Linked DNA regions of Canis lupus familiaris. The protein of the gene in region 2 interacts with the protein of the main gene of each other region in a pairwise test. Links are inferred from orthologs where the notes say so. Each region holds a gene or a part of one and is shown on either strand. Other genes may lie near its edges.

Region 1 (3,646 bases), on a different chromosome or scaffold from region 2:
GAAAGAAAAAAGAAAAAGGGGATCCAGAAAATTCTCTAGTAAGAATTCTTTGAGTAACAGCTAAGTAAAACACAGGCACCATTTCTATCAATTCTTGCTGTATCATGCAGAATTATAAGTCAGTAACAGATTGCCCATTGAGTAAAGTTCTTGATCTAAAATTCCAAGTATTACATGAATCACCAAGTAGCAAAATGAAGAAAGGCTACATTTTACTCATTCAACTGACATTTACTGAAAATCAAAATCACCTATTTTAATAGTTGGTGCCATGTATACTGCATGTAAGCAGAGGGCAGCTAGAAGAGGCATACCAGCTTTTAAAAGGACATGCTGAAAATTTTCTATGGGTCTTGAAAACTGAGTATGGTAAGACTGAGAGGTGTGGGCCTGTATGTCAGAGAATGGCACTCTAGGTAGAGAGAGTAGCATCTGTAATTCTCCAGCATGAAAGTGCATAACCATTGCATCTGCTCGGATAATACGCATTAATATGTTTGATTTGGAGAATGCTAGATTTGGAGATCTGGGGAAAGGGCATCCTGGAACAACAGAGGGGAGACCGTGGAGGACCTCTCTAGCTATGCCAAAGAATGTGGATTTCCTCCCTAAGTCAGAGGAATGCCAAATGACCAGCATGCCATGATCAGAGATAGATTTTACAAAGGTTGCTCTTGTGGCAAAACAGACAACAGGCTGGAAAGGAAGTAAGGGTGGATTCCAAACAGGTCATCCCGAATGTTACTGGCACAGTCCAGGTAAGAAAGAACAAGATCTGCAGAAGGCAGCGGCAGTGTGATTGCGCATACAGCAAAAAAAACCCTCAAGGGGTGAAATCCAAAGAATTTGATTAGTGCTTGGATGTGGGAACAGAAGACAGTGTGGAGTCCTTTAAGCAGGTCAAAAAGTCCCTCCAGGGAAAGTCAAGGTCCCTCAGGATAAGGCAAAATGCTCCTACCTTAGCAGTGCTATTGACATTATCGGGGTCTCCCTCCTCGCACTCCAGCAGCGTCACATGGGTGAGGTTCTCCACTGGATTTGTAAGTGTCAGGAGGACCTGGCTCTCCTGGGGAATAGGAAAAGCCTGTCTCAGACATGTTCCACTGCTGCCACCTAGGTCCACCTTCTTATTGCTACACCAAGCATTTCAGAAAACCATTACAACCCCAGCCCCCCTTACTCCTAAGCAATAACACCCACCTATACCTCTAAGTCACTACATCATTCTCAGAGGGCTGGCGGATTCCTATTTTATTATTTATATATTGGGCTATGTGTGCTCTGGAGCTACTTAAATTACATGAGGAAATAGGACAGATCCCACAGAAAGAGCCAGGTACTAGATTCAGAAATTCTGAGGAATGTACATTATCTAAGTGATTAAAGTTTACAACTCTTGCTCCAACCAGTCCTCCATGTAAGGACTCCTGAGCATAACTTAGTCTGCTTAGTCTGAAAGTTCTCATAAATAAAATATGGGAGCTGCAGGGTAGCCAGATATTGAAAAAAATCATTCATTAGGACTCTAAAAGACTTTTAAGATTTCTTGACCCATAATTTGCTCGTTTTGTACTTTCTTGAGATTGCCAAAATCTTTCAGATGAACATGGATTACATAAATGTCTTCATAAGCAGCACAAAAGTAAAGAACTAAAGGGGCTGCTAGAGAATATTCTACAACCCCTGGGGCGGGGGGGGGGCAGGAGGGGGCACAGATAAGGAACTCAAAGAAGAAGAGCTGTAGTAAAGAAGAAATCTGGTTGATTCCTGGTATCTGACACACAGAAATGGGATGTGGAGAGTCTTCTGGCTGGAGAAGAGCTAAAGGTGTCTGTGGGGTAAAACATTTTCTCTCCTCACCCATCATTCCATCTTTATATAACGTGCACACTGCTCCTTCAAAATTTATGTTAAAGATGCTGCTGCCAAGAATCTCAGAATAAAGAAATTAAAAATCTCAAAACTTTTATGATTTCAAATTTTTTTATCCCTTGCTCCTGAATTTCATGCTAAATATACCGCCACCCACATACACATACACACACACATCTCTGATCAACCCTTAGTCTTCCTGTTAATAAGCAAAGTACTAACCTTCATGTAGCGAAGGTTGGGAATCGACATGATTCTCACTTCTGGGATATAATTGCTATGCGTGAATAAAAAATACATTAATGTTCATTGAAGTCTCTTAAAATTATCACTTTTTTAAAGCAATTGCAGCAAAGATTTCTTCCAGTTAACTAGAACATGTCACACAAAAAGAATCTTAAAGAATCATACCATCATAATGAGATCTTAAGACATGAAACCAACTGGTAATGAGTTGTCCTGAAATCTTAGGGACTCTATCATTTATTTTTTTTAAAGATTTTATTTATTTATTCATGAGAGACACACAGAGAGGGGCACAGACATAGGAAGAGGGAGGAGAAGCAGGCCCATGCAGAGAGCCCAAAGCGGGACTCGATCCCGGCACTCCCAGGATCACACCCTGAGCCAAAGGCAGACGCTCAACCACTGAGCCACCCAGCCATCCCAGGGACACTTCTATTTAGAGCCTATGTATCTCTGTGCATTATAGTAAATATCTTCCTTATACATTTGCTAGATAATTTTTGAGATTTTATTAATTCATTTCTGTAAATCGAAAAGGCAACTAGTTATAGGGCCCATGACTGACTGGGTCAAAGTACTACTTACCACCTACTTACCACTGTTATATAGCACTATGTGCAAGGTAATGTTTTAAATGCTTTAAATTTAACTTATATAATCTTCACTGTGACTGCATGAGACAGGTGTTATTATTATCACTGCCATTACTGAGATGAAGAAACTAGGCTTGGGAGAAGTAACTTGCTGGTGAGTGGTCAAGTAGCTCTAGGGTCTTTCCCCTTAACCACTTCATGTTTTGCTGCCTCCCTAAGTAAGACAACACAATACCATACTCACATGTGTTTAGTCTGAACTCAAAACCACCCAGAGTCAAATCCCAGTTTAGTGTTTATATACCTATTCTTTCCTCCAAAGTCAACAGATCAGTGTTTCTCAACATTCCTGACTACTGTAAGGACTTATTTTTAATTACTGCGTAATATTCTACAACCTGAGTGTACCTCAATTTAATCAACTATTGTTAATGGCTAACCAGACACGGGAATTTCTAGATTTTTGCCTTTTTAAAATGTTACGATACACATCCTTACATATATATCTTTAGATATTGGTGGTTTTGCTTCAACAGAATAGATTCCTAAGATAGTACTGCGGTTTAGTCTATGTAGTTTTGTCTTGATATTCCAGGCCACTCTCCAAAAAGACTAGCAATCCACAAGCCTACCAACAATGTATGTAAATGTTTCCCCACATTCTCAGGAGTACTAAATGCTATTTATTATAGCATATATTTATAGCATATATTTATAAACTTTTCCTATCAAGTACCAGCATCTATCCCTGTATTCACTAACCATTTGAAATTCCTCTTCTTTTTTTTTTAAGATTTTATTTACCTATGCATGAGAGAGAGAGATTGGCAGAGACACAGGCAGAGGGAGAAGCAGGCTCCATGGGGACTCAGGGAGCCTGACATGGGACTCGATCCCAGGTCTCCAGGATCACGCCCTGGGCCTAAGGCAGGTGC
Region 2 (3,646 bases):
CTACAGAGTGGGTATCCCTGGGCTGAAGGTCCTCGTCCTGGCTAGAGAGCTCAGGCCCCTAACGAGGTCAAGAGATGGTGCACCTCGGATTCAGCCCTGGATGCTACCCCCAGCTCCACCAGTCACTAGTCGCTTCTCATCTCTCAGCCTCAGGTGTCCTCAGAGATATTAGCATTTTGCTCACAGAGGTGTCAAGGATTATTATTTTTTAAGATTTTACTTATTCATGAGAGACACAGAGAGAGAGAGAGAGAGGCAGAGACACAGGCAGAGGGAGAAGCAGGCTCCATGCAGGAAGCCCGATGTGGGACTCGATCCTGAGTCTCCAGGATCAGGCCCCGGGCTGAAGGGGCCGCTAAACCGCTGAGCCACCCGGGCTGCCCAGGTGTCAAGAATTAAATGAGAAGCATGCCTGTAGTGTGAGGCATTCAGGGCGCACTCAGATGTCCATGGGCGCACTTTGCTTTTCCACTAAAGTGAAAATAGAAGGTGGTCATGAGGCATGAGGAAGGGTAAGGGAAGTGTGGGTCCCTGGATATAGGGGCAGTCACTGAAGTCCTAGAGCGAGGAAGCCAGGGGCCTGGGCGGGCCGCAGAGCCTCCCGCTTTCCTCTCAGCACGGGTGCCAGCCTTAGTCCCTGGGTCTTCCCACAGGTGGAGCTGAAGAGCCAGGAGGCTCAGAATCTACAGCAGCAGCGGGACCAGTACATGAGCCACCTGCAGCAGTATATGGCCGCCTACCAGCAGCTGGCTTCCGACAAGGAGCTGCTGCACAAGCAGGTGCTGCTGCAGACTCAGCTCATGGACCGGCTGCAGCATGAGGAAGTTCAGGGCAAGGTGGCGGCCGAGAAAGCCCTCCAAGAGTTACAGGAGACCCAGGTGAAGGGAGTTCGAGTACTGGGCCCCGAGGGGAGGGCCTGCTACCCGCATCCCTTCTCACTCTTTCCTGGCCCCTCAGGGACGCCTGGAATCTGCCACCCAGCAGAACCAGCAGCTCCAGGCCCAGCTGAGCCTCATGGCTATGCCTGGGGAAGGTGAGTAGGAGAGTGTCCAGGGGAAGAGGACAGAGCCCGAGGAGGAGGAGGGGTGACTTTGAGCAGCACAGAATCAAGTGTGACGGGACCTGTAGGACAGTGAATTCTTCTCTGGGGATGCACTGGCCCCAAGCTTTGTTCCCTGGCCCGCTTTACCTCCCCTGTTGGGTTGTCTGAGGACCCTCCATCTGCCCTGACAGGAGATGGATTGGACAGTGAGGAGAAGGAAGAAGAGGCTGCCCAGCCAAAGCTGAGCATGCCAGAGAACCTGGAGAGCCGAGAGGCCGTGGTGAGCAGACCCCCGCTGCCCCTTCCTCGTCCCACCTTCCCGCTTCCCTCTGTGGTAACCCCCTCCCAGGGGCACCCTCCTTTCTTCTTGGTTCCCTCCCTCAACCTCTCTCAACCCTCAAACCCATGGGACCCAGCGGTCAGCCTCGGCACCATCCTTGAAGCGCAGATGTGCCCACGAAGGCCAGGAGAGGAGGAGCTTCTCTCTGCCTTCCTGCCACCTGGTCACCCTGAGTATCCCCCACAAGAGCACACACACATGTCTCACCTGCAGGTGGCATTTTTTAACTCGGCCTTAGCCAGTGCTGAGGAGGAGCAGGCACGGCTGCGCGGGCAGCTGAAGAAGCAGAAGCTGCGCTGCCAGCGTCTGGCTCACCTGGTGGCCCCAGGCCAGCAGGTGCAGGAGGAGGCCGCAGCCCCCAGTGGTGACAGTGTGCCTGGGGAGACCCACCAGGCCCTTCAGGTGGCCATGGACAAGCTGCAGGTGAGCCAGTCGCTGGCCAGCCCTGGAAGGGTGGGGCCACCAGGGCGGGCTGCCTGACCCTGACCCTGCTGCTCTGGCCACAGGGCCGCTTCCTGGAGCTCATGCAGGAGAAAGTGGAGCTGAAGGAGCGGGTGGAGGAGCTGGAGCATTGCTGCATCCAGCTTTCTGGAGAGACAGACACTATTGGTGAGTGGGAGGGCCAGCACCCGGGGGTGGGGGGAGCCCTGTGATGGGTCCAAGAGCCTGAGCGGCAGCCCGTGTACCCACAGGAGAATACATCGCCCTGTACCAGAATCAGAGGGCAGTGCTGAAGGAACGGCACCGGGAGAAGGAGGAGTACATTAGCCGTCTGGCTCAAGACAAAGAAAACATGAAGGTAGGGGCCCTGAGCATCGCTGGGAGTGGTACAGGGCAGGGGTGGAACTCGGGGGTGCTCAGCACCTCTCCTTCCAGATGAAGCTGCTGGAGCTACAGAAACTGGTGCTATGCCTAGTGAGCGAGCGCAATGAACGGCAGGGCAAGCTCCTGGCAGCTGCCCAGGACCCCGCAGCAGAGCCTGCTACAGCACCCCCAGCCCAAGAGCTTGGTGCTGCCAATGGCCAGGGTGGTGAGTAGAGCCCTCAGGGTGGGTGGGGCGGGGAGAGCTCGCACAGCACTCAGAGCCCTGTTTCTTTCTCTCTCCCTGACCCACAAAGATCTTCGAGAGGTGAGCCTGGCTGACAATGATAATGTGGCACCTCCTCAGGGAGAGGCCCTACCAGGCCACAGTGCCCCTGAGAACCCCACTGCACAGCAAATCATGCAGCTTCTGCAGGAGATGCAGAATCCCCAGCCATACCTAGGTTTAAGCAAGAATCCCTGCGTCCCCTTCTTCTACCGGGCTGATGACAATGACGAGGTGAAGATCCTGGTGATCTAAGAGCCTGACACCAGCAAGCAAAACCTGGAGAAGTGGGGCCGGGGGCTCTGCTCCCACCCTGTCCCTGCCACCCTATCATTCCTTCCCAGTTACCCTTTTATCCCTAAACTAGCAAGATAAGACCCCTGAGAGGGGTGTGAAAAGCCTCCTAATTGGGGGAGACAAATAGGTGCAGACCTCTTGCCACCTTGGCAAGGGCTGTGTCTTTATCTGGACTACTCATCGTTCCAGAAAAACAAAGAGCCAGAGGCTCAATAAAAACATAGTTTATTTAGAGGGCTCCCTTTCTTGGGGGGCAGGGGCTCCCTGGTGGCCTCCTCACCCCCACCAAGCAGTCCTTCAGAGGGGCTCAGGCATCCTCTATTCAGAGGCACTTTGGGGAACAAGTGCTCCCCCTGTCCAGCTCAATGACTGGGCAGCACTCTCCCAGGCCTTAGGACAGTTGGGGCTAACCCAGGCCAGGCAAAGGCATAAGCTGGTGGGGGGGGGGGCTCCCTCCCCAGTGTATATACTGTACCTGTGTAACATTTTGTATATTCTGGGGATAGGGCAGCCCCCTGTATCATAGCAGAGGTTGGAACTGGCAAATGGGGAGGAAGTTCTATTAAATATTTGGGGATGAGGAAACTTATTTATTGATAGCATAGGACAGAGGAAGGAGGCGGGGACGGGGTTCCGCCCAGGTGACTCACAACTTCTGTTTGCTTTTTATTTCGGAATAAATGGATTTAGCCATACTGTTTAGCCTTGTGTGTGCCTGTTTCCAGTCACTGGCCCCTAGGTCCTGGAGTCTGCACTGTGGGCATTGAACAGGGAGCAGATCCTGCCAGCAGAGGGCAGACTTCTGGATTGTGCAAAGCCCCAGTGTCTCTGAGCCTGCCTAGCAAACAGAGCTGTTGGAGATGATCCAGGCCTGTCACCC

What was found. The genes of interacting proteins can lie anywhere in the genome.
Region 1: the proteins of GOLGA2 (region 2) and DCTN4 interact in binary tests that used the Homo sapiens proteins (3 or more experiments, as listed by UniProt). The two-hybrid records come from large-scale screens. The link is inferred for Canis lupus familiaris from reciprocal best matches to the Homo sapiens genes GOLGA2 and DCTN4.

What each region holds. Positions count from the first base shown.
Region 1 is NC_049225.1:59,357,712-59,361,357, reverse strand, and holds part of DCTN4 (dynactin subunit 4), read right to left. Parts: intron 2,150-3,646; coding exon 2,095-2,149; intron 1,067-2,094; coding exon 959-1,066; intron 1-958. UniProt on the Homo sapiens protein: Part of the dynactin complex that activates the molecular motor dynein for ultra-processive transport along microtubules.
Region 2 is NC_049230.1:55,336,361-55,340,006, forward strand, and holds the end of GOLGA2 (golgin subfamily A member 2), read left to right. Parts: intron 1-653; coding exon 654-878; intron 879-957; coding exon 958-1,033; intron 1,034-1,233; coding exon 1,234-1,322; intron 1,323-1,595; coding exon 1,596-1,805; intron 1,806-1,888; coding exon 1,889-1,991; intron 1,992-2,074; coding exon 2,075-2,181; intron 2,182-2,258; coding exon 2,259-2,412; intron 2,413-2,500; coding exon 2,501-2,724; 3' UTR 2,725-3,466; downstream 3,467-3,646. UniProt on the Homo sapiens protein: Peripheral membrane component of the cis-Golgi stack that acts as a membrane skeleton that maintains the structure of the Golgi apparatus, and as a vesicle thether that facilitates vesicle fusion to the Golgi membrane.